Schizosaccharomyces pombe: one gene and its partners. The gene in region 2 interacts genetically with the main gene of each other region. Each region holds a gene or a part of one and is shown on either strand. Other genes may lie near its edges.

The links.
Region 1: mutations in ers1 (region 2) and mph1 together harm fitness more than expected from each alone (negative genetic interaction), as found in Schizosaccharomyces pombe (2 studies listed by BioGRID).
Region 3: mutations in ers1 (region 2) and rdp1 together harm fitness less than expected from each alone (positive genetic interaction), as found in Schizosaccharomyces pombe (2 studies listed by BioGRID).
Region 4: mutations in ers1 (region 2) and swd22 together harm fitness more than expected from each alone (negative genetic interaction), as found in Schizosaccharomyces pombe (2 studies listed by BioGRID).

Annotation. Positions count from the first base shown.
Region 1 is NC_003423.3:370,935-378,429, forward strand, and holds mph1 (dual-specificity protein kinase Mph1), read left to right. Parts: upstream 1-2,859; 5' UTR 2,860-2,954; coding exon 2,955-4,991; 3' UTR 4,992-5,358; downstream 5,359-7,495. Other genes in the region: F-box protein Pof13, read left to right, coding at 1,425-2,615; srx1 (sulfiredoxin), read right to left, coding at 5,528-5,902. UniProt on the Schizosaccharomyces pombe protein: Involved in mitotic spindle assembly checkpoint signaling, a process that delays anaphase until chromosomes are bioriented on the spindle, and in the repair of incorrect mitotic kinetochore-spindle microtubule attachments.
Region 2 is NC_003421.2:798,185-806,518, forward strand, and holds ers1 (RNA-silencing factor Ers1), read left to right. Parts: upstream 1-2,973; 5' UTR 2,974-3,012; coding exon 3,013-3,043; exon of another isoform or gene 3,044-3,079; coding exon 3,080-3,155; exon of another isoform or gene 3,156-3,194; coding exon 3,195-3,243; exon of another isoform or gene 3,244-3,282; coding exon 3,283-3,332; exon of another isoform or gene 3,333-3,355; intron 3,356-3,387; coding exon 3,388-3,802; intron 3,803-3,847; coding exon 3,848-5,127; intron 5,128-5,176; exon of another isoform or gene 5,177-5,177; coding exon 5,178-5,225; exon of another isoform or gene 5,226-5,262; coding exon 5,263-5,373; exon of another isoform or gene 5,374-5,415; coding exon 5,416-5,697; intron 5,698-5,747; coding exon 5,748-5,834; intron 5,835-5,875; coding exon 5,876-6,317; 3' UTR 6,318-6,359; downstream 6,360-8,334. Other genes in the region: rps1501 (40S ribosomal protein uS19), read left to right, coding at 98-559; protein Fta4, read left to right, coding at 1,659-1,800, 1,875-2,434; rRNA processing protein Ipi1, read right to left, coding at 6,443-7,443, 7,494-7,616, 7,665-7,737, 7,781-7,825; protein mug4, read right to left, coding at 8,078-8,334. UniProt on the Schizosaccharomyces pombe protein: Involved in RNAi-dependent heterochromatin formation and centromeric silencing.
Region 3 is NC_003424.3:1,322,354-1,331,071, forward strand, and holds rdp1 (RNA-directed RNA polymerase (RDRC) Rdp1), read left to right. Parts: upstream 1-2,587; 5' UTR 2,588-2,652; exon of another isoform or gene 2,653-2,732; 5' UTR 2,733-2,899; coding exon 2,900-6,547; 3' UTR 6,548-6,708; downstream 6,709-8,718. Other genes in the region: exo8 (exocyst complex subunit Exo84), read right to left, coding at 86-1,602, 1,646-1,787, 1,842-1,899, 1,946-1,983; phosphoribosylformylglycinamidine synthase Ade3, read right to left, coding at 6,909-8,718.
Region 4 is NC_003424.3:1,685,770-1,692,215, forward strand, and holds swd22 (Set1C-histone-H3K4 methyltransferase complex subunit Swd2), read left to right. Parts: upstream 1-4,496; 5' UTR 4,497-4,592; coding exon 4,593-5,618; 3' UTR 5,619-5,946; downstream 5,947-6,446. Other genes in the region: bst1 (GPI inositol deacylase), read left to right, coding at 1-2,849; SPOM_SPAC824.03C (uncharacterized protein), read right to left, coding at 3,133-3,876; HOPS complex subunit Vps16, read left to right, coding at 6,238-6,268, 6,309-6,343, 6,392-6,446.

The DNA of each region.
Region 1 (7,495 bases), on a different chromosome or scaffold from region 2:
TGCAGCTTAATAGCACAGTCTAAGGAATAAGGAAGATTGTAAGGGAATTTAAAAAATCTATTAAAACTAATCAATGATATCTAACATGTATATAAATGTAAATTTGTTAAACAAACGTTTATTATATCCTTTTAGTATTCTGTATTTGCTCTTTATAATTTGCTTAATCAAGGTCAACATTTATCTGGATAAACAAATTCTTAGTTGACGAAAATGTTAAGAATTGAGGAATAAAAAAGAATAATAAACTTGGAATCTTTAAAAATTCTGCTCCGAGCACTTAGGCTTCCCTAACTTTAAAAATAATTCAGGATCATAACCAGTAGATGTTTACAGGCATAACCAACCCCAATTTAGAGATAAAAGGGCACTCTCATTAATTTTTTTATAGGAAATATTACTCCACTCATGTTGGAGAATATTCTTTACATATTCATATTCCAAGCGAACAGTCATTTTATAAGTCTTCAATACGGTTCGACTATCAGGCTCAAAGATTCGAGAATGACATTCCGAGATAAAGAGTTGACTAAAATGAAAAGCTAACGCTACGGGATACTCAAATTGCAAAGATTAGTTCGGTTTGAGTCTTTGCAATTATACTTCACAGACTCTTTGCCAATAAACTAATAGCACTAAGGTCATCAAGCAATATAGAAGAACTGTCAAAACATTTTGAGAAATGAATCTCTTTCGAACGAACATATTGCACGAATCAGCAGTGTCAGTCGTCTGAATATTTAGCGATACAACAACTTTGTCTGTTCAATCTCATGTGCCTGTATAGTCCCTTAAGCTTTTTTTTGTAGTAAAAAAAACTAAACTATTCTTTCTGTTTAATTCAGAAGCTCTCCAATGTCAAGAAACCCAATGCGCCTTTAAGTGTGAATAGCTACAGCAATCAGCAAGTCAAAGCAAAACGCATTCTTGTCTTTAAAAGAATTTATTTTAATCAATATAACAGTTGAGTTTGGGAATAATTCTAGAGAATGAAGATGTTGTTAGCAATCCTCTTTTCCTAAAACACCCTAACCTACTCCATTTCGTTGAAAAAATAAACCACTTCCCCAATTCTATGATTTTGGGATTTTTTTTGGGACTATATTAGAGAATTTCTTGTTTTATATATATCAACAGGAGCTCATTAACGTCAACACTTGAAAACAAAAAGTATTTGTCAATTATAATTATCACGAGGTTCATTATTGATTTTTCCCGAATAAGATTATCTCCAACCAAGAAAACGGAATCTTTGAATCTAAAAAAACACATTCTTTACGTTTCTTAACATTCCTCGGCATAAATTGTTCTCTTTTGAAAAAATCGTTAGCAAAAGAGTTGCTGAATCGCAAACAAGCTACGAAAATTGCATTATCTTAAAAGAAATTGTGTAAATAACAATTTATAAAGTATTTCGGGACTTTATGAGGCCGACACATTGGTCGAGTAATCAGTGCGAAGTGGATTTTACAGCTGAAGCTCTCACAACCCTTTCTTTGTCAAACCGGAATCATGAGGAAGATCCAATTCAACCTGTGTTAAAAAATTCCAATTTATTTCTCTTGAACAGAGACATATGGTCCTTGATCATTAATTATCTTGATGCATTCGATATATTACGCCTGATGCATTCAAGTAGGCAGTTTTACTATTGGCTTCGTAAATCAGCTGTCGATGAATGCTGTTTTAATAACAATTTTCTTAATTTACAACCTTATCAACGTACAGTTCCTGTTGCCAGTGATTTAGAATGGGCTACTGAAGTTGATCTCTACGGAAACCCACCAATTTTAAAACTCCAACTTCGCGATTCATTTGTCTGGTCAATGCTTGCCAAATTCCAGGGACTTCAGACCATTGCTTTAGACGGAACAGGTGTTACCATTTCTAGTGTAACGAATATCTTGCTGAACATTCCTACCGTTAAAACCTTGAGTATAAGATGGTGTGTTGGTGTTTGCTCTCTATCTCTCATTGAGTTTCTACAAAATTCTAAAAGCAGGACATTTTCATTGGAAAATCTATACGTCCTTGGTGTTAAAGGATTAGAATTACTAAAACCTGTTTTGCTTGATGGCTCTGAGGATGACACATTAACAAGCAATTGGCATAGTCGAGTAATTTTATTTCAAAATGCTTTAGACGCTTTACCAACTACTCATGGTAACCCAGTCGAATGCGATATTTCACGTTGCCCTTTGAATGCATGCAAAATTGCAGGTCAGGAAACTGAGCTTGCCGATCTTTTTTCTTTGCAAAAAGTCCCTGCTTGTATCTATTGCTTAAGGGAATGGAAGAAGCCGATTTGTCGTTATTGCATAGATTTAAGAAGTTGTTTGGTTTGCGATTCATTTGTCTGTCCTTCCTGCATATCGTTGGATTTTGATTTGCAAATACAAGCATTTGCTCGTCAACACCGTGTAATATCTACTTTAGGTGTTGTTTATCCTGAAAGAGAAGACTCTTGTTTCCATAAGATCAAGGCCGCCCAATGGCATCAGATCAGTCCTAGAAGTCTTTTGTTCCAATTCCAAGAGCAGAACCATATTCACCACAAAAAGATTCGCAGGAAGCTGTTAGCGGCTGGATGGAAATGGCCTCAATCACAGATATAGTAAGGGCAAGGCGACCTAGGTGAAAAAACTTTTTACTTTCACAACTCTTCTTTTTCTTTCATGACTAGTCTAATAATGATCTTATGCCATTCTTACTCAGAATTTTCGTTTTCATAACCATGCGAAACTCGTAAAATAATGATATACACTGAAGTAGCTAGCATTGCGTTAGAGGGTGATCTTTGTAGTAACATAACATTTTGAAATGTGCACACTAATGGTTGCTCTGCTGTTCGTCTTTTCTAGCTATTCTTATAACGAAGTAAAAATTTATTGATTAACGCTTAACAAACAGTTGGAAATTCGGTTTGGAATGCTCGTTTTTTAGTAACTGTGTTTATGTCTAAGCGCAATCCTCCTGTGACTAATATCGCGGACTTGGTGTCAGATTCTTCCTTAGATGAAGACTCGCTTTCTTTTCTCGAAGAGCTTCAGGATCCAGAATTATACTTCAAAAATGACACTTTCTCTTCCAAGAGTAGCCATTCTGATGGCACCGTTACTGGGGATACGTTGCGTAGGCAGTCAAGCGGTGCAACTGCTTTAGAGAGATTGGTCTCACATCCTCGTACTAAAAATTTTGATTTGCAAGGAAATGGAGGACAAAATTCTGCTTTGAAGGAAGTGAATACTCCAGCATATCAGTCAATGCACCATTTCGAGCATTTAATAACACCCTTGCCCTCTACTAATGCGTCTCACAGTGAAGTTTCACTCAGTGCAGGAGTGAATGATCTCAATTCTAATTCGGAGCATGATTTGTTACCTAAAAGTGTAAACAAAACCCCCGGTTCTTTATCAATTTCAAGACGACGAAGAATCGGCAGAATTGGATTAGGCCCTCCAAAGCGTGCTGAGTACACGTTGACGGATCCCTCGAAGACTTCCGATACCAAAAACTCTACAGAAGCAGATGAGGATATTGAAATGAAATCTCGAGAAGTATCACCAGCTTCCAACTCTGTTGCTGCAACAACTTTAAAACCTCTGCAGCTGCATAACACTCCTTTGCAAACATCCCAGGAGCATCCCAAACCTTCTTTTCATCCTTCTCAGTTTGAGAGCTCTTTTTCTCCTAGGGTGCAGTTTGATCACGATGTTGAAAGAAGAGCTAGTGAACTTCATTCTCGTCCAGTCACCGTTTTCCAAGAGCCTCAGCGTTCTGCTTCTCAACCATATGAATCTCATGCTCTTTCTCCAAAGGTGGCTCCGTTATTTGATAACAGTCAAGCTACTCCCATACCCAAGCGTCAGCAGGACGTTGTTACTGTTGCCAATCTACAATTTATCAAATTAGGAGTTGTTGGAAAGGGTGGAAGTAGTATGGTATATCGCATATTTTCCCCCGATAACAGTCGTTTATACGCTTTGAAAGAGGTGAACTTTATTAATGCAGACCAAACTACTATACAAGGATACAAGAACGAAATTGCATTATTAAGAAAGCTTTCAGGCAATGATCGCATAATTAAATTATATGCTGCCGAAGTTAATGATACTTTAGGGCAACTCAATATGGTGATGGAATGCGGAGAAACGGATTTAGCAAACCTTTTAATGAAAAACATGAAGAAACCCATTAATCTTAATTTCATCAGAATGTATTGGGAGCAAATGCTAGAGGCGGTCCAGGTAGTTCATGATCAAAATATAGTGCATTCGGATTTGAAGCCGGCCAATTTCCTGCTTGTAGAAGGGAATTTGAAGCTGATTGATTTTGGCATTGCCAAAGCAATTGGTAATGACACCACTAATATCCATCGTGATTCCCACATCGGTACTATTAATTATATGGCACCTGAAGCTTTGACAGACATGAATGCTCACACAAACTCTGGCGTGAAACTCGTAAAGTTGGGCAGGCCCAGCGACGTGTGGAGTTTGGGATGTATATTATATCAGATGGTGTATGGGAGGGCCCCGTTTGCTCATCTAAAAATGATCCAAGCTATAGCAGCTATCCCTAATGAACAATATCACATTCATTTCCCCGAAGTTGCCTTACCTGCTAATGCTGTCCAGGAGAAAGAGGGATCGTTGCCAGGTGTAACTGTCGGGCCTGATCTAATGGATGTTATGAAAAGATGCCTGGAAAGGGATCAACGGAAGAGACTTACAATACCGGAATTGCTGGTTCATCCCTTTTTAAACCCTTTGCCATCCTATTTGACACCTTTGGCCAAAAAGCCGTTACCTGTTTCTGGGCACACCAATAATGCTCATCCACTTAGACTCAGCACAGAAATCTCAGCTTCTCAATTATCAATGATTATAGAAAGGTCGGTGGAGTTGAGTAAGCACAAGCGATTAAATAAGGAACTTATTGATAGCATGGCTTATGATTGCGTTAGCAATTTACGAAAAATGCCAGAATAGAGGCACTAAATTTTCCGATTATTCTTAAAAAGGTTTTATCTTTTACAAAGTTTCCCAAACATCATACGAGTTTCTTAATGTTAACGACTTTTTTAGGGAGCTTAAAGGCTTTTTTTTTTTAATCTTTAATTTTTCGCTCTTTTAAAAGAAGGTAATTATGACCTTGATTAATGAACCACATATTATATGGCCCCTGATATCTATACTTTGATACTATGTAAATATAAAGAACGCTATACTCCCAAACGCTATAAGTTGTTTGTTTACGATATAATACCTTTTTGTGTTTGTTTTTTTTAGGTAAAGCAACCAAATGAATGATGCTTTTTTATAAGAAACTTTTTTAATATAATTGGGTTATATTAGACATTAAAAAAAAACCCCATAACTAATGTAAAACAAAAACCTTTAAAAATAATGTACCGCCGGTAGAGATGATTATTAACGCCATAAATGTTGGTGCAGGAAGGGAATAAAACAGGTTCAATGGAATATCGATAATCCTAAAAAAACTTGTGAAAAAATCTAAGTTAAATCTAATCACTATCCAAAAATTTATTGGCAGAAGCACCCAGATACAGGCGTAGAGTGTTAGGGGAGCAATTTACCAATTTGCAGCGAACCTTTTTGCGCCCTGCTTCATCGTGAGCACGTAGTCGATGACAGCCCCCAAAGGCAAAATAATAAGGCTTCCCACTCTTTTTAAACGTTAAAACATCAACAGGAGGAAGCTCACCAGCTTCCAAATCTTCTGAAGTCAAACCGCATGAAGCTGGAGGAGTTTTCCCTGTCATGGTTTCCATCATACTATTGACTTTGTTCATATCTAAAACAGGAGGTATAGGACGAATTAACTCAGACATATCAAGCTCAACAATGTTGTTATTTGAGCCAGTGTGAATCGAAGTCATGATGGTTAAAAATGAATGAAAGAAAGAATATAAAAAAGATAAAGTGAACAGAAATTTTTATAAATAGAACAGAAAATTATAAAAAAAGGCAAGTTAATAAGAATGGAAAAGTGGATATTGATATCGAGTATATTTACTCCTTGATCTGATATCGTTTCCTGTTGTACTAATGATCTGCCCCACAACCTATCTTATCCCGGTATGTATATAATAATTTACAAATATGACATCATTATCAAAGATGAATCGATACTTAAAATCTTATGTAAAAATTTGTCAGCATGTTAGCGAAACACGTTAAACCGACTAGGACAAAGCAACGTGGTTACGTTACGAGGTCTGGGTTTGTGTTCTTAGTAAGGTAGTTGGAGTAGCTTATTCATTAAATGTAGATGGCAATAAAACACTATTGCAAAGATGTCAAAGTGTAGAATGATGCTACCTAAATAGAATTTCAAGCACAAATACTTAGGTATAAATAACTTGGAGTCGACGGAGAACTGTAAATGCACGAGTACATTCAAAAATGTGTAAACAAAAGGTTCACTTTCTGAAAACGCTTTCTAAAATGTGACAGAGATAACCGACACAAGATCATTAAAACAATATGAGTATTGTTTTCGAATGGTGAAAGAAGCATTAGCTAGTTGAAGAGTGCAAATTTTGGTTAAGAAGAAATTCATTGGTAGAATGTAGGCTTGAACCGTTAGTCGTCAACAAAAGTGGAATTTTAAAGATTGCATCTGAAATCCTTAAATTTTAAGAAAATCCATCCTTAAGTCAGGATTAAGAAACCATAGTATATTATTTTGTTTGTATAAGTTCGGCTGCTATATTTGCTGAGGCCAAATTGATTCTTGGCCAACGTTTTATATCATAAGATTTGAAGGCAATGTAGCAAATTGAATATTAGATTATTTTAACACTTTAAAAATGTTAGGTAATGTAAGGAATAACATTTCAATTTAAAGAAGGACTGAGCGACAAATGAAAGGCTGTTCTTTTTTTTACAATTGTTGAGACAATTACAAGAACTATGGTACACATAAAAACTTTTAAAGAGTAGCAAGGTTTTAATACAATTCTTAAAGTTTTTTGAGCAAACAGATCACAATGATCCTTTCATATGTACATGCTTTAGAGAAGTAAGGTCAATACTTCAATCGGACTTCTCATCTACAATGAAAACGCGAATTTCATAATAAATACTAATCATCCATCCGTTCTCTCATATCCTTGGTATCCTTTATCCTTCCCATTAGTCAATCTCTAAAGCCATTAATCCTCATTTTTTTATAATGCCATCGCTCAATTCCCGCAAAACATCAAACCTTTTATGAACAGATACTATCATTTACTTACAATATGTTTTTAGCAACATAGCTTCCTATTAGCCTGATGTGAGATTAACTTCGATAAACTTTCAATATTAAAACTTGCATTCGATTTGAATCATCTTTACTGCCATAAAATAGAATTGCGATTTAGGATCAAGTTAGCACGACATCATGGTGTTTTCCAATATTCGCGACCTGTTCTCAACCACCACTCACCACTTCATTAATTCCAAGTTTTAGAATTCTTTAGCTTTTT
Region 2 (8,334 bases):
TACGTGACTGTTTATAGTGACCAAAACTTGTAGCAGGAAACACTAGAAAAGATACGTTTGACCATCACCAACTACGGCATAAAATCCAATACACAGCATGGCCGAAGAACATGATGAAGCCGTTCGCGTTGCCGAACTGAGAAAGAAGAGAAGTTTCCGTACTTTTGCTTACCGTGGTGTTGAGCTTGAGCAGCTTTTGGATCTCTCTGCTGAGCAATTGGTTGATTTGTTCCATGCCCGTGCTCGTCGTCGTATGCTTCGTGGTCTTGGACCCAATGCCTCTCGCTTCATCCGTAAGCTCCGCAAGGCTAAGACTGAAGCTCCTCTTAATGAGAAGCCCGCCACTGTTAAGACCCATTTGCGTAACATGATCATCCTTCCCGAGATGGTCGGTTCTGTCGTTGGTATTTACAACGGTAAGCTCTTCAACCAAGTTGAGATTCGTCCTGAAATGATTGGTCACTACTTGGGTGAGTTCTCTATCACTTACAAGCCTACTAAGCACGGTCGTCCCGGTATTGGTGCCACTCATAGTTCTCGTTTCATTCCTCTTAAGTAAAGAGATGCAAAAAGGCGGGTTCAATGGATGGTTTCACTTCTATCTTATTCAATAATTTCTTTGTTTGGACTAACGTTGTACATTCGCATAAAAACCTAGGTTTTTTCAAGATATCTAAATTTGGTAGTGAAAGTAACAGTTGTAGAGCTGCGTGTTCGTAAACATGAATTATGTAAAGAGAAATACAGACAGATAATTTTTGTATTTGTAAAGTAACGAGTGTGTATAGTTGAAGGAGCATGGAAGTGTAACACAGAGCCGGACATATTGATTTACTTGACACTTGAATCTGCAATTTGACAGCTACGATTAGATTGCTAGCTTCATGATGTTTTACAAAAGCTACTTGTCCCACTCTTGGCTTGCCATCTAGCTAGTGAACCTATGAGAATATTTTATCATTATATTTTGGAAACCATCATTTGTTTTTGTTTCTCAACTAGCTCGAAATAACCTAAATGGTACTACATTGTAAAAACCAAGCTTTCGTTTACGTTTTACCACCGTAGAGTATATGTACCAATTCTGGGTGCTTGTTTGTAAATCTGAATTTTTTTGTAAGCTATTAGTTTTAAGGATAAATAAATATGTTTAATGCTATTCAATATTAATGGTATATCCTAGGTCAACTTCACAATACACTATACTCTAGGGTTCATCCTTCATAGAATATTACTCTCTTCGCTATATCTTAGAACTGATATATGCACTAATTTTTTAACTCGCATTAGACGAGTCCTTTCTAAGGAGCTAGCTTAATGATTATGTACATAAAATCTTCATTTTAACATCATTCAAAGTATTCTATTTAGTCGCTCGACTTTTCGACTTCTTTAGTCTCCTGTAACTTTCTCAAAATTTGTCATTAATCAACCATCAGCCAAGGTCTGATTGATTTGGTCTTTTTTTGTTAAGTAATTAATTTTGGAAGTGCTTACACTGAAGACGTCTATATGCTCAAAAGTCGCTGTTAGTTTGTTGCCTTTGCGTGAACTTGCTTTGTTAATTTCAATACCATATTGACTTGTTTTTCGATCAGTATTCAACTGTTTTTATTTTAATCCTGATAATCTTGATTTAAATCAAATTTACTTCCTAAATGGATATTTACGAACATAAAAAATCATTCATGGAACGACAGATACGGCTGTTGAACCGACCTATGCGCCCTCCAAAGGATTGGAAACTTCCTTTAAAATCCGGTCAGCTTTCAGAATCAGTCGTTGAAACTGTATTCCAACGTACGTGTTCCATGCTTTTGTCTGGATTTCTCCTACAAATAAAAAGTTCAAAATATTATTATTAACCAAAACAGGATTGCAACTTCGTATCCAAAAGCATGCAAAGCTAAATTATTCACATCAAGCAACTCAGCATGTTGCCGCTCAAATACGAAAGTTATATGAACAAAATAGCGCTATTGAGGACATTACCTTTTTAAATCCATTATTTTATGGAGAAATTGATTTAAGCAATTTAGACAGTGTAAAATCACTTCCCCATCCATGGCCTTTTCAAAAAGAATCCCGACCTGTCGAAAAGGATGAGGAGCAAGAGAAGTTCAATCGTCTTACGGGAGAGTTACTTGGTCTATTAACAACGTTGTCAGAATTAGAACAGGAGCGCTCTGAACTTGAGCAAATCGAAAAAATGTTGGAACCTTTTGAAGATGGGCCTTCTTCAATACATACGAATATGTGGAAGAAAAACCCTGAATTGATATCAACCCTCAACAGTACGAACACCATGGTAGCTAAAATTAATTCTCTTCTCAGAGGGGTTTCATTTCCTTCTTTAAACAATGACAATCAGGAAGCGTCATTGGAGGACGAAATCAGAAGCCAATTATTCGAAAAAACTATTTCTGATGATTAAAAAACTTTTCGTAGAAATTGAGAGGGAATGATGTTCATGAACTCCTATTGCATCTCATCATCTGCTTTTGAAATAATGACTAATACTTAATTGGAGGAGAGGGTGCCTTATTTCCTGGTTTAAGGATTTTATTGACTCTACTAGAAATGTTGGGGCTATAGAAATAACTTTGAAGCTTCTACTTTACGTTCAGATATTTATTGGTTAATGATTTCCTAGCTTTGGGAGGCATTAAGTTAGTTGATAAGACAACACATTTTTATTTACAAATGAGTGTCCGCTAAACAAAATACGTTTCTTAACAATTGTCTTAGTTTTATTTTTTAGTTTACAGTGTTTCTAACCTTTAATGAATCATTACAGCTTATAATTCAAATACTCAGCTCTCGATTGTAAGTACGTTAACATTAATTTTATCACAATTATAATACCTACATACAAGGAACTATAGATTTAATTATTTTTCTTTTCTTCTGATAATTCATAAAGCTTTATATTCCTAATGAATTCATATTACTTCACTTATATTCTGAAGCTGCATATAGCATGTACCATCTGTAAGCTCGATGAAATGAGTGATGGGTAAAGTATCTGCAAACAATCAATCTGGTAAGTCAATGTGTATCATTCTTTTGCTAATATTAGGATTTTTTAAATTTTATATCGATACAGCGTTGCTTTTAAATGCTGAATTTATATCCTCCTTCACAAATTGTATAAAGTATGGTTTTGCGCAAATGGACTATTACTGATGATATAGTTCTGAATATAATGGAAAAGTAAAAATTTCTTACTCTTCTTCATCTCAGGTATTTTATATATCCTAGCTATTGACGCTAATAATTCAGCAATTCAAAGTCATAGTGTACGAGGAACACAAAAGAGAAGCGTTTAGTCTGTAAGTTCCATGCGTTCATCCTAAATATTATTTTAAATATTAATTAACATGCTAGTTTTGAGGAAATAGTTCAAAAGTTGAAGCGCGAATCAACTGTTTACAAGAAACCACGCCTAGATATTCATCCATTCGGGCAATTGCATTATGATTTTACTACTTTATTGAATTTTCAAAGGTACTTAGACTTAGGATACGGTATTGAAGATGTGAAAATAAAAGAAAATGAGGACATTGTTAAGTCTAAAGTGGGCAAGAAACCGACATCCTCCGATTTTTATATTCCTTGCTTGATAAAACCTAAAATCATTACTCCTTTTGAATGGGAAGGAAATTTTAAACAGGTCATTTATTCGCCTACTGTTTACAACGGGAGTTTCAAGCGATTATTTTACCTTCCCGACAATAATGATTTGCTCAAGGAGTTTGCGCATGCTACCAACACAAAATACAAGGCTTCTTTAAAAGATAATGTATGTATTTGTGAAGATACTTCTACCATCCTAACTTTTGACTAGAAAATAGTTGTATTAGCCAATAACGATCAGGACATTAATGCTATGTTGGAGAAAATGAAGCATATAGAGAATTTAGTGTCCCAGAAAGTCTATGAATATCCTGAAGAAACTCTTGTTTATGCAGGAAAGATTGCACCCTGCCAACTGAAATTTCTAAAATTAAAATTTGAAAACGAGATTTTATACACAGCTATGCATACGACATCTATTTTCAAAAGCGTTTTCAATATCCTTGGATCTTTTTATACTATGAGATTATTGAGAAATAAACATGATGGTGATTCTTATGAGTTGGTACCAGTTTTTGCTAAAAATCCTTCCAAAACCCCTCCCTGTAATGATAATTTTAAAATATTTTCTGATGATATAAAGCTGATAGGATGTAAAATATTTGCAGGTGTTTCTTTAAACTTCTCTTCTCCGAAACCAGCGCACAGATTTTACGAGTTAAATAAAACTTCATCCAATTTGTCGATCCCAGTCTTACAAAAGCCGTCAAATTTTCATTCTTCGTCAACCGAATTATCTGATAATTCAATTCATCAAGGAAGGAGAGCAGTTGATCCTGTTGTTAACCAGAATAATCCGTCAAATTTTGAAGAAATGATTATGAACAAGTTGAATAAATTACCCACGATTGATAAGCAAATTTTAGGAACTTCATCTTTGACCCATTTCCAAGATAAAACAACTGCAATTGAGCATTCAATTAATAAGTCTAATAGCAAGCAGCCTCCTCGGTTCAAATTTCAGCTTCCTCCTCGACCTACGAGCAATACTTTACCATTGGAACCTGAAGAAGAGCTGGTTACTAGATATTCTGTTTCTTCGGATGGTAATACTGTTGACGAAGCAATAACTAAACAGTCTCAGACTTTTCAATTGGTCAATTCAAATGAATTTAATGAAGTTAACGCTAATGATGTTCATAAATCTTTGCGACAAAATTGCGCAAAATTGGATTTCGACGATTCAAAGTCTAAAAACCTATTAAGTGTAGAATGTTTAGAGCTTGACAAAGGATCAGATTGTTCCACTCCAAAATCTGGCAGCTTAACTCCTTCAATTGACATGAAGTTTTTACGTTTACAAGATGAGAAAATGGACGACCTTGGTGACAACTATTATACAATTCTAATGTCTTCCAATCCGGTATCAAGCTACGGTGTGGGAAGCTTATACTTATTTCAACCAAAAATAGTATGCTCTGAAAAATACATTAATCACGAAGAGATTGACAACATGAATTTGAAATCATTGCACAGATGGTTATCTAGAAGGTCTGTGGTATTGACTAAATATGTAAACATAAGTCTAACACTTTGTTTAGCTTGCATGTACTTCAATCCTTTTCAGGTGAAATTGAATTGAATTTAGAGTATGCGTTTATTTTTGAATAAATATTAATCCAACAGGTTTGGCGTCATACTATATCCAAATATCTCATCAGATGTGTCGGCTTGTTCACATGGTTTTATGAATATATATAAGGATTTGAATCTTCCCCGATCATATTTTGCAGACTGGTAGGTTGAGTCTTCATATGTTATATTAACCTTTTTATAAAGCATTACCAAATCAGTTTCGAATATCGATTCATTATTGAATACTCCTGTGAAAATTTTGTTTGGACGTACTGAGTATACTTATCCTTTAATAGAGCATGAAGTATTAGATTCAAAGAATTACTTTGTTTTCAAGGGAAGTTTATTATTTACAGATGATAAGAGAAACAAGACAGAGGATTCCACTGTATTTTTTTCGATGATTTGTTCTTCAAAGTTAGATCAGTTTGCGTTTTATAAAGATTCTAAGCAATCTTCTACTTGCACTATCAATTTTCCTTTAGCGTATGTTATGAATGTTTTTAAGGAAAAAAACAACTAATCATGACTTATAGCTTATGGGATTCCCGTCTACGTATCGAAACGAAAGTCCCTTTAAATGATGCGATACTTACAGAGTTCTCCAAAAGTATTAGATTTAGGTATGTCAATTTCTGAAAGCTTCGACTAATCAGTTGACTAGAAACGTAAATAAGGATTTACTGTTAGTCTTTGGAAATATGGAAGACAGAGTAATAATTCATTCGGTCACAAGAATTAATGAAAACTCTGTACCTTTTAACAAAAATTTACTCCCTCACTCTCTAGAATTTATATTAAAATGTTCAAAAGTTAAGAGCTATGACATTAGCCCGTCATCTATTAATTCCAAAGAAGCCTTCGTTTGTCTCGACAGATCCAAGGAAAGCAAACCTATAGAATCCTGTTTCAGTCTAAGTATACAAAGTGTGTACATGCAGTCTCAGTTCAAATATAATAACAGTATACGCGCAGGAGAAACGGCTCCGTGGAAACTTGCAAATAAACAATTCATTGGTGGGGCTATTACTGAGAATGTTTCAGACTTGTATACTGCAGCAATTATTATGGTGAATCAATTAGGGGGGATACACCCTACTATTTAATTAATTTTATTTATGCGTTAATATCAATTTTGTTTATACCACTTAACATAAATAACCCCTCAAACCAAATTCTTAAATTAAAACAATGCGAGGACCCATTTAAAACGAAACATATAGAGTCAGTTTCATTTACCCGGGTTCTCCAATGCATCCAATTCCACTGCACGCTCGCGCAATTTATCGTATCCTTTCAATACACCTCTCCATTCGGAATCTGTTCCATAATTGATATTTATCAACTCTATGTCCCTATTTATTTTTCTTAAAACTTGAGATATTTTCTTCCTATGATTGTTGGGTTCATCAGCTACACTGAAAACTTGTTCAGTAAACAATCCAAGCATCGATAAAACCGTTCTACAAACTTTTGAAGCAGACGGAGAGTTGGATCCATCTTTAACAACTGGGCAAGCGTCAGACCACGAGTTTCTAATGAATTCTATAATTCCAGGTATTAAAGGATATATTGTCTGCCAACGGAAAGTAGGGTTATCGACAAGATCGTGTTTATTTGGATTGAATAGCGACAAATATGCAAATGAACAAGGAGATCTAAACGCCTCGTATTTCGGATGTATTACAATGCATTGTTGCAAATAGGGATACTTTAAATGAACGGATGATTGTTGATTTTTTGCTTGTAACTTAGGGTTCAAACCCAATTGTAAAAAATCGTTACATACAGTTAGGTGTCTTATCATGTTAGCGGAAGACTTCTTTGAAAAGCTAGTTGTTCTCTTCACAGAGGCACTCTCTGAGTTCCACCCGAGAAGGTTTGTAAAGCACTCTAATGTTTTCTTCCACTGTAACGAAATTGCAGAGGAACTTAGCCGATCTTTACAAGCATTGATGAGTAAGGAGAGAAACTTTGTAGAGTCATTCCGTATTGAAGGAGTAATATGAGTCATCCCTGAGTGTGTGTAGAGAAATATCATTCCAATGTTCGGTTCCAGCAATTCTGGCCCCATTATATATATAAATTTTTCAAGAAATCGATATAGACAATCTCGTACCGATGAGGATTCATCAAGTATCAAAGGCGATGTTAACTTTAACAGCAGCGCTGTCGACGTCGTCAAAATGCTTGTATGAGATAAAACATATTGTGTAAGCTTTTCCAACGTCTCTTTAACATGTTAGCAAAAGATGCATAAGTTAATAGAAAATTTCTCTTACCCTGCCGTTGATTGGCATTATGATGCTTTAACATTCCTAAAAGATGTGCAAAGTACGCCTGATCCTTAGCTGTTGTATTGAAATCCTCCTTTTCTAAAGCTGCCTGTGTTGGAAGTACGAGCGCTAGATGTTTAGGTTAGTTATTTGAATAAAAATTCCTTTTGTTCATACTTTTTGTTCTGAATGAGGTATCGGTAAAATTATTTGGTGCATTTTTTGATTTTCCCACCTTGAGTTTTTGTTTCTAAAAAATCAGTTAATACAGCTATTTCCGACAACAATTTTACATTAAAATCAGCTCTTTTAGCTTTTGCTTTCTTTGATTTACCCATATTTAATATATTGTGGAATTAATTGTACAATTTAAACTTCGTACTTTCAGACAACGTTACGTTTGGTGGAGTACCCAAAATGTAGAAAATGTGAGTAGTGCCTAATGTAATGAAATGAGAAAATTTTCGATTTGTTAATCCAAGTCGTTTTGCAACAACACATTCATTAATAAAAAATTTCAATTTAATCAAAAGATTTGCATTTTGTATGTACGATTAAAAAAGTGTGCTGATGATTGAAAAAATTAATGTTTAGTTGGCATTGTCATCTTTCTTCCTATTTAGCCGTAAAAATCCAAATGCCTTATGAAATTGCTCCCTTTCAAGTTCGAATGATGACATTTTTGTAACAGCTGGCATTATTTGAGTGCTAGTAACCGATACGGTTTTGTAAATTTCAGTTGGTTCTTTTTCATAGTAATCATGTAATTTCATATTCACTGCCTGCAGTTGCAAAACTTTATGCTGTAATACATTTAAACTCTTTTCCATTTCACAACTATGAGGCA
Region 3 (8,718 bases), on a different chromosome or scaffold from region 2:
AGAACTATTAAATTGTATTAAAAAAATAATGGGTCTTTCATGAAATTTATATTCCATACCCTTATATAAAAACTGAAATCAAAATTTATTTTAAATCTTTAGAATGAACATCAAAAAGACGCTGTAATATCGGCATGGCATCAATTTTAGCTTCCTTTAATTCCGTGTTATAAGTCATTATTTTTGAAACGGCGTCCGTATATGATCTGTCGTGGGCTAAATGTTTATATTGATTTTCTATTAAATCAACAAGAGCCTCAATTTGCTGAAAAATCCAGTTCCTGTAAGCGGGATCCAATTTTTTCAACTCAAATAATTGCAAATAAGAACTAGTAGTTTGCGCTAAACAACGAAACACTATGAACGCGCAAGCATCGATGAAATTAGGAGTGTCTTTTTCCAATTGAACATTCAGACACTTTTCTTTAATCAATAAGGTCCTAGACTTCATAAATACACCTTGTCCCTCCTTTTCATGGCCTAAAGAGCGTAAATAACGAACTATTTCTTTCCCGTGGGAAAGACTGATTCCTTTAAATCCAAGTTGATGAAGTAAAATTTCCGTCACCTTTCGCTTTCTATTGTGAAGTTTATCTGCAAAAAATTCGGCAAACAACTCGTTTAGATTACCACGCTCTAGCTTATTTTGTATCAAAGCCAAATTTCTAATAGCATCCGTAAACTCTTGTAAGCTAATTTGTATGTCGAGATGATCAAATTGCATAGATATTTCCTTTACCATGTTTCTCTGTTTGGCATAAGCCTGAAGGATGTCCTGAGTATCCAGATTTTTACAAAGGACTTGAAAGGATGTATACGAACACATATCGGCTTGTTCCGATTTAGTATGATATTCTAGTTCACGACTAAATTCGAGATCTTCATCATGCTTTCTAGACCAATTTTCTAGTTCTTGAAGCTGGTGATGGCGAGCCTGACGAACCATATAATCCCTTTCTTCACTATTGTGTACTGCCAACAATGTGGTCTTATTGTTATGGTTAATTGACAGTTTGTATAGAGAGACCTCTTTCTCCTTCTGCAGCATTTCAGCACCTGCTGGTCCATAAGTTTCAATTGAAGAAATAGAAATTTCGGTTAAATTCCAATTATACAAAACCTGCTGCTTAGCAGGGAAATCAACTTCTTTCATGTGAGAAGTAGTAACCAACAGTCTATCATTAAACAGAAGCATATTGACAAGAAGCTTAGGTCTCTGATTGTCAATATTGATTAACATCCAATTGTATTGCTCACATATAAGCTGTCTTTGAGGCGCTTCCCAGAATGCTTCATCTAGCCCTTCAATGGATGATCGTAGTCTCTGTACCGTTTGTTTTATTGATTCGTCGGAAGGGTCATGCGTATGGTCGACCAAGTTTAATCCTTCAATGTCAGTCTCCAGGGTTTTCAACAGAGACTGAAACTTTTTAAAATCTGAAGTCATGCTCTCAACCTCCCCTGATATAAATACATATTCATTCAAATTTTTGTAAAAATTCTTTTCCAAATTTTTACGGACGCCCATGTGAATGCGTAGAAGCTTATTGTATAAAGACACAAATTCATCTTCACTAAGGTCCTGTAAAACATCGTTTAAATCTTTTTTGCAAAATTAGTTTCCAATAGACATAATTACACATACAGCTTTGAGCATCAAAATTTTGATTATCGAAAAATTTAGGCTGTAAAAAAACTTCATTTTGTGAAATGATATGTTTTGTTTGCCGTTTTTGTCGATAAATATCATCTGTTTTAGAGGTACCGACTCGTAATCGCGTCGGTGACTTTTAAAAAGCAGTTTTAGTAATAGGTTGTTTTTATTTAACTTCAGTACATACCTGTCTTTGGCTTTCATTTGGTATGGACTCCGAAGCAACACTTAAATGATTAGATTTCCTAACAAAAAATTAGCTCAAACACCCGATATTCTCTAGCTGCGTACATGAATTCATCTTCAAAAGAAGATGGATTGTCAGGCATTTTTTTTTCAAGTTTCTGATAGAAGAATAAATATTATGTATCTAAAGGATGTTAAATTGAATGCTTCACATTTGAAATAAGTTTAACAATTTACCAATTAAAATAAGGGAATGAAGAACCTATTTGTGGTATTTACAAATAGGAATAATAAATTAATTTATCCTTGAGCAATTGCTCTATTTTTAAAAATCTATTAAGTTGTTTGCTTTGCCGAAGTAGTTGGACGTGTTTGTAAAATCAAGCGCTGACGAGGGGTTTGGAATATCAGGGCTGCACTTAATTTTGAAACGAGTAAAGCTACGTAGCTCAAATTATATACCATGCTTAAAAAATAAATTTATAGTAAATATCAGCTAGATATTATAACACGATATTGAACATGAATTAAGGTGCATGATATCAGTCGTTTAACTGATGGAAGTTTCCTAACAATTTTTTATTCCTTGGTGAAAAAACTACCTCAATATCTGCTTTGGATTGAAAACTGAAATTCAACTTGCCGGTTCATATAGGATGAATATGTATTCTTAGTATTTTGATTCTACTTCCCTATACGTAAAGGAGCCTTCACTTAACTTTATTCCACCGTGCTACAAACTTCCTTCAAGAGCAATTCATAGATATTGATACTATAACGGTCAATTAAATTAAAAAGGCACACATATACATGTATGTATAAGTGGATAAATAGGAACATTATAATCTTTTTTATATAAATCGAAGGTTTTTCGTATCTAACGAATTTATAGCCAGCTGAAAGGAATCTTCTATGATAAAAGACCACTTCGCAGAGCGAGGCTGCTGATACTGCATAAAGGCGCTATGAGATTTAGTGTTTTATTTTTACAAAAGGTTCCAAATTGATTTGTTGTCAGGGTTATAATTAAATCCAGATTTTGTATGGCAATGTAAAGCAATGGCAGTTTCGTTAAATGACTTTATAAGTGTTAAATTAAAACGTTATTCTCGTGAGTCACCCTGGGAAAGACTTAGAGTCCCATATAGAAACAAAAAGCAAAAGAAATGGGCTTCCGTTCACAATAATGAAGCTCAGTTGCACTCGGCTAATAAACGAAATGATAATTGTCTAATCCAAAGAAGTAGTACTTGGAGATTGGGGGATATGATTACACTTGTCATAAAAGATATTCCAGTTACTTGGCTTTCAAATGAGGGAGGAAAACTATACAACTTGTGGGAACCCCTTCATGATTACGGTACAATAGAATTCATGAAGATTAATGAACCTTTGAATGGACAGACAAGTACTACTGCAATAGTCCAATTTGCTCCTCCTCCCAAAGTTCCATTCTGGGAACCAAATGGGAAAATAAATGTCAAAGGTGTTGATCTAGCTGTTCAAATTGACATAACAGCACATCGTTCCCACATCAGCCGACAAGTTTTCTCTAAGAATAGTTTTAGAAGCGATCAGCTAGTAAAAATCCCGTTATCCTCCTTTAAGCTCGGGCAAGTTTATGATGAAAGAATTGTCCCACTGTTTGGTGTTGATTGTGGAATAACTGTAACTGAATCAAACTTACTTGTATATTTTAATTTCAAAAAGCTCTGTGTTCTCTTTGATGCTTCTTTTGACAAACAGATCGAAACCTTTCGTCTGGACTTCGATTTTCATTCCATAATAGGCGATGTAGGGACGGATTATTACGATGATCATATTTCCCTCGTATTTAGATTTAGATTTTCTCCACTAATTTTCAGAAAATCTAAAAATGCAACTGAATCCAGAGTTCAAACTTTCTGGACTGCATCTCATCTTTGGAGACGACATTATGATATTCTACCTTTCAATGTTTCACCAACGACTGCTAGTCCTATAGAGCTACTTAATTGCCATAACGCCCCCATTGGACGCTGCAATGTTTTAGTCCTTAGCTTTTCCATAAGGGATGAGTCTGATAAAGATGACATTGCCTTTCTTTTACACAACTTGGAAAAATTCAATTTGAAAAGTCAACTTGATAAAGTGGTTTTCCATCTTGTCCCAGACTACAAACATCGCTGTAGTCTAATAAATGATAAAGAAATTGAGGAAGAGATTGCTTATCTTTTGCAGGCTTGCCTTTCTAAAAACTTATTATCAGAAATTGATTTGCCCATTATATTGGCGAATTTAAAGAAATTATCGAAAGAGAGAGCAAAAAAATTCCTAAGACTAATTCTAACGTCCAAAACCGCTTTAATAAATCCTTCTGAGCTAGATTTTACTAAGTCTTTTGTCTTTTACGATTTATCTTCCGCTTCTTCTATTCACATTAAAAAATTGTACGTTACACCTACTACTCTTCGAATAGTTGAAGACTCATTAGAAGCAGGAAATCGTGTTATAAGAAATTTTAAGGACTTTGCAAACCGTTTTATGCGTGTGCAAATAACTGATGAATACTATAAGCAAAAAATTCGAGGCGGTTCTGATGGGTTTAGAAATGAAAAATTGTATTCTCGCATCCAACAATTATTAACCTACGGAATTAAAGTTGGTAATCAAATTTACGAATTTTTAGCTTTTGGAAATTCTCAATTAAGAGAGCATGGTGCTTACTTTTTTGCTTCGGGATCTGATCTAAATGCCAAACAGATCAGGGAATGGATGGGTGACTTTAGTGAAATCAATTCAGTATCTAAGTATGCAGCAAGGATGGGACAATGCTTTTCAACGACAAAGGAAATTAATCGATTTTGTGTTGACATATCCCTTCAGGATGATATTGTTCGTAACAACCACTGCTTTACTGATGGGGTTGGAATGGCATCATTATCTGTAATTCGAAGACTTTCTTTGGAAGTAAAAAATCATGATATGTTTCCCTCTGCGTTTCAATTTCGTATGGGTGGTTATAAAGGCGTTTTATCTTTAGCTCCTCCGACTAAGCTTGAATACCATCAAGGAAATCTTGTGTTTCCACGCCGTAGTCAAGATAAATTTAAATCATTCCATAGTACCTTGGAAGTTATTAAAATATCTCGATTTTCAAATGCCCATCTGAATATGCAACTGATCACCTTATTGGAAGGACTCGGGGTTGAAAAAACCGTATTTTTGGAATTGACTAGAAGTCAGTTGTCAAAAATGAACGAATCGATAAACAGCAAACAAAAATCCATTTTAATGTTACGGGACAACGTAGATGAATATCACTCTACTTTAATTATTGCTGATTTTATCCAGGCCGGTTTCCTTGAAAGAGATGATGCTTTCACCGAGAATTTATTAAATCTATATTATGAATGGGTTCTTAGGTTAATTAAGGAAAAACAAAAAGTTAGTGTTCCAAAGGGTGCCTATTTACTTGGTGTAGCTGATGAAACTGGAACACTAAAGGGTCATTATGATGATGCTGTTTTGTCAGTACCTGAAATTTTCATCCAAATTACCGACACTTCTACCAGTTTTGGTTCATATTCAACTGGAAAGCTGAAAACAAGGGTTATAGTTGGATTGTGTATTGTTGCAAGGAATCCCTCGCTTCATCCAGGTGACGTACGTGTCTGTAAAGCTGTCAGATGCGATGAGCTTATGCATTTAAAAAATGTGATAGTGTTTCCGACAACGGGTGATCGAAGCATTCCTGCTATGTGCTCTGGTGGTGATCTGGATGGGGATGAGTACACAGTTATATGGGATCAACGTCTTCTTCCTAAAATTGTTAATTATCCCCCATTGCTTGAATCATCTCCCAAGAAGTCTATAGATTTTTTGGAAGGAAAGCCACTTATCGATTCGGTAAAAGAATTTTTTGTGAATTATATAAAATATGATTCGCTAGGTCTAATTTCAAATGCTTGGAAGGCATGGGCCCATGACCATGATAATAATCCGGAAGGGATATTTGGAAATGTGTGTTTAGAACTTGCAGAAATGCATTCAAAAGCTGTAGATTTTGCTAAATCGGGAGTAGCTTGTAAAATGCAAGCCAAATACCATCCCAAACGATATCCTGACTTCATGCAAAAAACAAAAACTCGTTCTTTTCGTTCCGAAACCGCGGTTGGCAAAATTTTCAGATACGCTGCACGATTCCAAAGAGAAAGTGGCAGACCTGCAACTTATAATCCGATAATGAATACTGTTTATGATCCTTGTATGAAACTTCCAAGGTTTAAAACTGAATATCTGAATGTAGCTGAAGAAGTGAAGAAACACTATGATAATGACCTGAGATCAATTATGGCTCGTTTTGATATTTCCACAGAATATGAAGTTTACACAGCTTTTATCCTTTTTAAAGATGATTTAGCTAAAACCGTAAATGAATATGGTCTTAGGGAGGAAGTTAGCTTTCAGTTCGACCTTCTAAAGAAAAAATACACTCAAGAGTACTTAGAGAAATGCGCTTTATCAAATCAATCGGCATTTGATTCTTCGGAATATGAAGAACGGATAAACAGTGCGGTTGCTGCCACTTACGATGTGACATACGATCAACGTGTCAAATCTGTTGGCAATGGCACTACTGAGGTATTGATTTCATTTCCATATTTATTTTCTAGTCGTCTTTGTCAGCTTTCACGAAAAGCCATGCTTACTGCTAATAATTTTTAAATCGAATATACATTCGAAGCTTTAATTGCTCGTAAAAGGCTAATAGTAATTGTACTCATTATCGACAATGGAACATAGAACAGCAAAACAGGTAGCTAGAGTTAACATTTAACAAGACTGTTGTATGTTTCTGCTGAAGGAAAAGAGTTGTCATAATTTTTACACATATACTCGATGGTTAAAGCAATTTAATCGTAATAATGTATAATTAACGATTTTTATATCTGCCAAGCTTAATCTAATTTTCACCATTAATTTAAGTAGAATAATTATAAAATTTTGTAACACGAAACAAACCAAAACTGTAAAGAAACTACGGCATGTGAACTCCAATTCAGCTTCTCCGGGCAAGATAAATGCTTTAACCAACCCATTTTCTAGCAGATTGGAAAAGACGGATCCAAGGACCATGAACGCCCCACTCGCTAGCTTTCGAATGAGGGTAATAACTGTTTGCAACTTTCAAAACTACACGTTCAGGGTGAGGCATCATAGCTAAAAAGCGACCACAAGGGGAGCGAACACCAGCTATAGCATCTCTGCTTCCATTAGGGTTGAATGGATAACGGCTAGTACGCTCGTTGTAGTTGTTAACGTAGTATATCAAATCCAAACCTTCCTTCTTAAATTGTTCGTAATCGGACTCTGAATCGAAAACAGCTCTACCTTCTCCATGGGCAACGACCACGGGTAAACTAGATCCAGCCATACTTTCAGTGAAAATGGATTTTGAACCACTTGTTTCATCGATCTTTAACATAACTGCACGACCTTCGTATTGCGCTGACTCATTAAATGTAAACATAGGCCAGCTTTTAGCTCCTGGAATAAGTGATTTCAGACGACTGAACAGTTGACATCCATTACAAATACCCAAACCAAATGTGTCTTTACGCTCGTTAAAGAAACGGTAAAACTCATTACGAGCATCTTCGTGAAGAAGGATGGAAGTAGCCCATCCATTGCCAGATCCTAAAACATCACCATAAGAAAACCCACCACAAGCAGCAATACCGACAAAATCATCCAAATGAACTCTACCGCTGAGGATATCAGTCATGTGAACATCCACGGCAGTAAAACCGGATGCATAAAAAGCATATGCCATTTCCAAATAACCATTTACGCCTTGTTCACGAAGAATTGCTACTTTGGGACGACTAGTTAAAGCCAAATCAGCGGTAACTGACACATTTGGATCAAATGTAAGGTGGTATCCTAAACCAGGATCATTATTATCGGCAATATTTTCCATTTCCTGTCGTGCACATTCAGGATTGTCACGAATTTCTTGCATTTTATAAGAGGTTTCATGCCAAATTCCGTGTAATTTAGAGCGAGTTGATTTGAAGATTATTTTACCAGAACGGCTAAAAGATATTGTTTGAGCCTGGCCGGAAAGTACTTTACCGATGCGATGAACACAAGTACTCAAACCATTAGCAGCAAATAACTCCAATACCTTGGCAATGTCACGATCACAAACTTGAATTACAGCGCCTAATTCTTCATTGAACAAAGCCGCAATATTATCGGATGACAAAGAATCTAACTCACATTCAATACCAACATGACCGGCAAAAGCCATTTCACTAAGAGTAACAAACAAACCTCCGTCAGACTTATCATGATAAGCCTGAATGTAGTTGGTTTTATGCAGTTGAGTAATAACGTTAATGAAATTCTTGAAAGTGTCTAAATTATCAAGATCCGGCACCTCATCACCCAACTGCTTATAGGACTGAGCAAGTATAGAACCGCCTAAACGTTGTTTTCCATTTGCTAAATCAATAAAAATCAATGAGGTGGATCCGATGTCCTCAACTTTACGTAATTGCGGAGTCCAAATGGAATAAAGATCATCAACAGGAGAGAAGCCAGTAATTATAAGTGAAAGAGGTGCAGTTACGGATTTCTCCCTACCGTCTTCATTCCATTTCATACTCATGGACATTGAATCTTTACCCACAGGAATGCTAATACCAAGTGATGGGCACAGTTCTAAGCCTATCGCTTGCACTGCTTCATAAAGTTTTGCACCTTCTCCAGGATGCGAAGGAGCTGCCATCCAGTTGGCGCTAAGACGAATACGATCTAAAGCAGGAATAGATGCTGCTACAAGGTTCATAATACATTCAGCGACAGCCATTCTAGCGGAGGCAGCAGCGGAT
Region 4 (6,446 bases), on a different chromosome or scaffold from region 2:
ATGCTGGTAAACTCGTCCCTGATTTTTTTGTGGTGGATTTTAATGAGGATTTTTCAGCATTTCATGGCCAAACGCTGTTGGACCAAGCTGAATATGTCAATGATGCTATTCCATATATACTCTCTCTTTACCGTCAAAATCGAAAAATCTCTTCGGAGTATGACAATGAAGCTTTTCCTCCCCCAACGTCCGTTATATTACTTGGTCATTCTATGGGAGGGATTGTTGCTCAAGCTACTTTTACGATGAAAAACTACGTTGATGGTTCTGTTAATACCCTAATTACTTTAGCTACGCCACATGCAATGGCCCCTTTGCCTTTTGATAGGCATCTAGTAGAATTTTATGAATCAATTAAAAACTTTTGGTCCCAGTCCTTTCTGTTGAGTCCAGAAGAAAATTCACTAGATGATGTTTTGCTTGTTTCCATAGCTGGGGGAGGTTTAGATACTCATGTTGTACCGGAGTATTCGTCCATCTCTACCTTTGTGCCCCCCTCGAACGGTCTAATGGTTTTTACTTCTGGTATCCCTTCCGTTTGGGCAGAAATTGATCATCAAGCTATGGCTTGGTGCGAGAATTTCCGTCGGGTACTAATTCGGGGAATTTTTGCAATTATGGATGCAAGGACATCAAAGTGCACCGTTTCTCTTAATTTGAGGAAGGAGTTGCTTAGTCGTGCCTACATCCAGGGTTCTTCTTTTCAAAACGACATTACGCAAATTTCCAAACCAATTGCTCAATACAAAGCTTTGGACCTTGATCTTACTTACGTTTATAGCGAGATGCCAGGGCAACTGTTATTTTTGAACCAACTAGGTGTTTCTTATATTCGGCATCATATCTTTCCTATTCCGAAGCCTACCTCAAGCATTGACCGATTCGAATTGCTTACTGATCAGCCTATTGATCTTTCGTCATCCAATATTAAAGTATTGGCTTGCCGCCTTGATCCAAAAATTGATAATACTATATCTGCTTTATTAGAGAATGGTAACAATAAAGTAATTAACGCTAATTGCCATTTACTTAGGGAATTGGTTACTTTGCTTCCTGCTTCAACTGCATACACCAGCAGTCCATATGGTGGTGACAGTTTTTATAACTACGTATTGCCAAAGGAAAAAATGGATGATTATCATTTTATTTTAGTGTCTGATGATTCGAAAGCACCCGCTAGTGGGTTTGTTGTTGGGGGATTTTCAAATGTTTCGTTGGATCCTAAAACGATTAAAGGTTCTCAAATTGAACTCTTCAAAAGCGGAAGAAAATTTCAATTCGACACCAAAGGATCGATTTCGAAACGCTTCAGGTTCCCTGGTATTCAGAGCTCAATTATGGCTTACACCATTTCAGTAACGTACGAACTTTATCCTGGTGCCGTACCTCAAAAAGAATTTACCCCTATGTTAAAGCAAAGTATTGAATCTCCATTTGAAACAAAATATCATGTGAATATGTCAAATACAGAACTTTCTGTTCACGGGATATCCCCATTTATGGAATTTTTTGGTAAGGAATCAGAAAAATCTTTAACTCTCGAATTCTTTTTGAATCCTGCTATCTATAAGTCGGTTTATGTTTCAATACAGCCAAGTTATTACAGGAGCGCTGGGCGTCTGCTCATGCGTTACAGAACATTACTTGCTTCCTTTCCTGTGGTTGTAATTAGTTTGGCAGCTTACAATCAGTTTAGGTATTTTCATTACGGTTCTGCATACTTGAGTATGTCGGCTGCACTTGAAGTCATGATTCGCAAAGGACTTATCAAACTCCTTTTTTTAGTTTCGATCTTGTCAATTGCATTTTCATATTTAATTAGCAGAGTAGAGTTGATTGTTGCCGATGGTGCTGACCCTGTCGCCTCTTGGAAAATATTCGCAATGATGGTTCCAAAATCTTTCTGGAAACAAAATCATTTACTTTTTGGACTACAGACTGCTCAATTTTGGTTCCTCGCCCCGCTGTTAACTTTAATGTTTGTTGGCTTAGTTATAACAGCCAGTGTTATTATACTCTGTGTCATGCATTTATTAGCATTCATATATGGTATCTACTTGCGTTATAAAGGTTTGACTTTTACTGGTGTATGCCAAGCTGTGAAGTTCTCCTTTCAATGTCTGAGAACAAGAAATACTAGAAAATTGGATCATGGAGAATTTAAAAAACTTTCGAGTTTTCTATCTCAGAGAAATATGTATTATGCAAACCCTTCTCTCTGTTACGTATATGGAAAGAAGCATATGCAAGCTCGGATAATTGGCATCATGTTATTGTTGCTCATGGCAATGACGGTGGTACCCTTTCAACTTGTTTATGGTGTTGCTTTATGTACCCAGACAGTAACTACTGCTAAAGCTTTACACTTGGCCCGATTTTGCACCAAGTCAAGCCATTACCGAAAAAAATTGTGGGATTTCTACAATTTCTCTTGCACGATAACAATACTGATGTTACTCTTAGCTCCTTTGGACTTTCCTGTTCTCATTGTTTGGGCTAGAAATCTTTCCATGCATTGGTCTATTCCTTTCCCCACACATCATAATTTCTTCTCAATTATCCCTTTTATATTACTCACCGAAATTTTACGAACAGGAAAGATGCTACCTCGTTTGAACGACGTGGAGTACTACATAAATAACGTTTTTTTGTTTCTTCTGTCTTTCTATTCATTGATATATGGAGCTGAAAAACCATACCTCATTCACAATGTAGTTGGGTTATACTTTTTTTGGCTTTTATTTTTGTATGCCAAGAATGGTTTTTTTGTACAAAACATTTCGAAATGGCCGATCATTCCTAGAATGAAGTATTTTATTAAGCACAAATTTTTGCGATCTATTTCTTAATGGAAACTTGTAACAATATTATTTAATTCTTTTCTCTTTTTTCTTTATTCTCTCTTTTATATTACATTATTTCCTTTATTTTCACACTGTTGAACACTTATCATACTTTAATTTTCAAGATAGAACTTCGTTTTTATTTGGTAGACATTCGTTCATTGAATTTTATTTCTATTTATTACCTTGAATAATATCTCTTTACAAAGTTTATTGGTTTATCAAAGACTGAATAACTCACATTAGCATGATGGAAATAGAAAAAGATGAATTAATATATGAGCTGTCATCAACAGTTAAGAGATATTTTTTGATTTTTGTAGACCAACACTAAAGGTACTGGCCTTTCTTCCGTACGTGATAATGGCTGTAATAGTTCAAATAAGGAAACATAATTCACTTGGGAAAATTCCTGAGATAAAGGCACAATATTAGCGGTTGGCGAAGGAAGCTTGTAAATCTGGCGCACACTCAGGTCGGGAAAAATAGCCAAAGCTTGGTGATTCCAAACAAATTGAAACATGTAGCTATGAAATCCGTCAACATATATGCGGCATAAGGCAAGAGGTCTGTTGCTGATGGACAAAGTCTTCAGTGAGGATGATGTGAAAGAACCCAAACAAGCCAAAATCCCAAGAGTATCTGTTGGATAAGATGACAAAGAGCCTTCAAGCTCTCTAACAAATCTGGGCCCTATTGATCCCTTGTTAGATTTGCAGGATACGACAACTTTGGTGGGCTCAAACAACACATTTTTAATCGAAAATTGGCCCACCAAATCCACCCCACCATCGCCCTTTCCACCACATCTTTCAAGCTGAAAACTGTGTTGCTTTAGCACATACTGTACCAAGTATTCAAACAAGGTTCCTTGGGCAACAGTATTCGACGTTGAAGGCTTCTGAACACTCAAATGTTCTAAATAGGAAACAAGATTGTTGTGTGTGACAGACAAGTTTCTAAGGCCTAAAAGGCCTCTGTTCATGAATGAAAAATTTCTACACCGATTGAACCCTGACTTTAAAATCCACATCACGCTAGACAGAATGCGAAAGACTTAAACAGTATAAAGTTCAGGATAAGAAATGAATTATGCAAATATTCATTCCCTTCTAATTCGAATAACAACGACTGAGGATCGAAAGTAGTTATTTAAATAATTTTTGCTGAATTTTAGAAGTTCGTGAATCACGCCGTTCCTTAGTAATTTTAATTAATCTGTTAACGGTTTGCAAAAGCAAATTCGCGATATCTAAGAAAAATTTATTCAGAAAATAACAAAAATACAGAGCTTTGAGGATTACAAGCAAGCGACAAAATAATTGAAACTGGTTCTGCTGTATTTCATGGAATGATCCAGCTTCCTTGGTAGCTTTGTTTATAAGTTTTCCTTAATAAAAATTTACTCTTAAATTATATTTGATAATATGAAAGTTTTGATAACATCACGCCTCCATTTCCACAATATCAAGCCTTCAGACTCTTTTATTAATCAAGTGTATTTTTGGTGGAGAAATTAATAGCCTGTTAATTTTCAACTTCACTATTCTTTTTAAAAGTTTTCGAATTGTAATTTAAAACTGTATACTAAAACGTGCTACAGTTCGTTAAACACGTTGTCTGGCACTACTCTAATTTTGTGGAATCACAAGTAAACAAATGCAAGCAAGGGCTTAGCAAAGTAGAAAGGCCCTTAAGGGGATATAAAAGGAAATTCAAAGAGAATTTATATATTTTATTTAATTCTCAATGGATATCGGCATACTTTCGAGTTTAAAGCCTGCACAGTCGTTTCGTGATAACTCATTAGGAAGCTTCATTAATAGCATTGATTACAGTGATTCTGGAGAGTATGTTGCAACGACATGTTCTGCCGATGACACAGTCCAAATATATGATGCTTTAGATCCGAAGCAAGTCCATACAATAACTTGTTTCGAAACCGGCATAGAAGTTGCTCGTTTTACACACCACGATCATAATCTACTTTTGTCTACCACAAAGGGGAATAAGGATATTCAATATGTTTCAATTTATGACAACAAAAGAATATCGTACTTCAGTGGGCACACGGACATCGTTTCATCCATTGAGGTTTCTCCTATTGAAGACCAATTCGTTAGTACGGCAAACGACAAAACCTTGAAGCTTTGGAAAATGAATCAATCCTCGAGATGCCTTGGAAATTTAGATCTCCCATCCCTTGGAATTCCCGCTTATGATCCCACAGGTCTTGTTTTTGCGGTTGCATGTCATTCACTGTCACGTATCTTTCTTTACGACGTGCGGAATTATGGTTCTGATCCGTTTTCAACATTCACAATAGATGACTCTCGTTACTTATCAAGGTTTTCGTTTCCCCCCATGATGCCTGAGTGGAAACATATGGAGTTTTCCAACGATGGAAAATGTATACTTCTCTCAACTAGAGCTAATGTTCACTATATACTTGATGCATTCAGCGGGGATGTTTTATCTAGATTAGAGGACTTCCAAGAATTGCCGTTCTCCAACAATTTTCACGGCGGCTCAACCACTTTTGTACCTCAAGGTAATTTTGTCATAGGATCTGCTGACGACCGTACCCTGAATGTATGGAATTTAAGACATACCTTTCACCATAAAGGAAAAACAAGACCTCCTGAACATCGTATTGTTTCTCAGTCTATAATTAATCCAGGTCTTGTTAAGTATAATCCTAGGTATGATCAACTTTTGACTGCAGGGTCCCAACTCGTTTTTTGGCTTCCCGAAAAATATGCCTTAACATCATGATTATACTGCTAAAGCATACCGTAATCTTCTCCCAGGTTTTAATTATTATATAATCTTATTTATGTCTTCAACAACTACCTATACGTAAACCTGAGGAACCTGTCATTTCAACAAATGAACTAAAAATTTTTAAAATATAAAATCCTCATAAATCTTTAATTGATTTTTCATATTTCCCGATCTTAATTTTCTTCATGCAATGTTAGAATTTTTACTAATACCCTTTTTATTAAAGGATTCGCTAGAATTCATTGATATATGAATATCAAGAAATCAAACTTTGCGATAAGCAAAATAATGTTAATACTATTCTATCTTTTGACATATACCATGTTGACATTGTATAACGCATACGTATGCATGTAAATGACTCCTAGATATATCTGTTTTCTTATTCCTTCAATCCACTGTAATTAAAAAAAAAGATTAAATTAAAGAAATCCCAGGTAAACGGGAAAGCGAATTGTTTAGGTGCTTGACATAGTGAGATGACTCTTACCAGTTGCTTTAAGTGTGATCGGGGATACCACTGTTCGTCACAATACTCACGTGTAATATACATTGAACTACATTTATAGAAGTTGCTTCACCTTTTTAGCATTTTCTAAATAAAATAGAAATGGAGCCTTCAATAAAGTATCCCATCTATGGTATGCCGTTCAGTTGCATAGTTATACTAATTTACGAAAGAATGGGAACTTTTACAAGACACTTATTACCAAAAGGTACGTCAGAATGGAATTTGTAACAGAGTTAAAAACTAATGTAACTAGTCAGCTATTGGAAAGGCGGAATGGGAATATATAGATCCTGTTGACTTTATGTTTG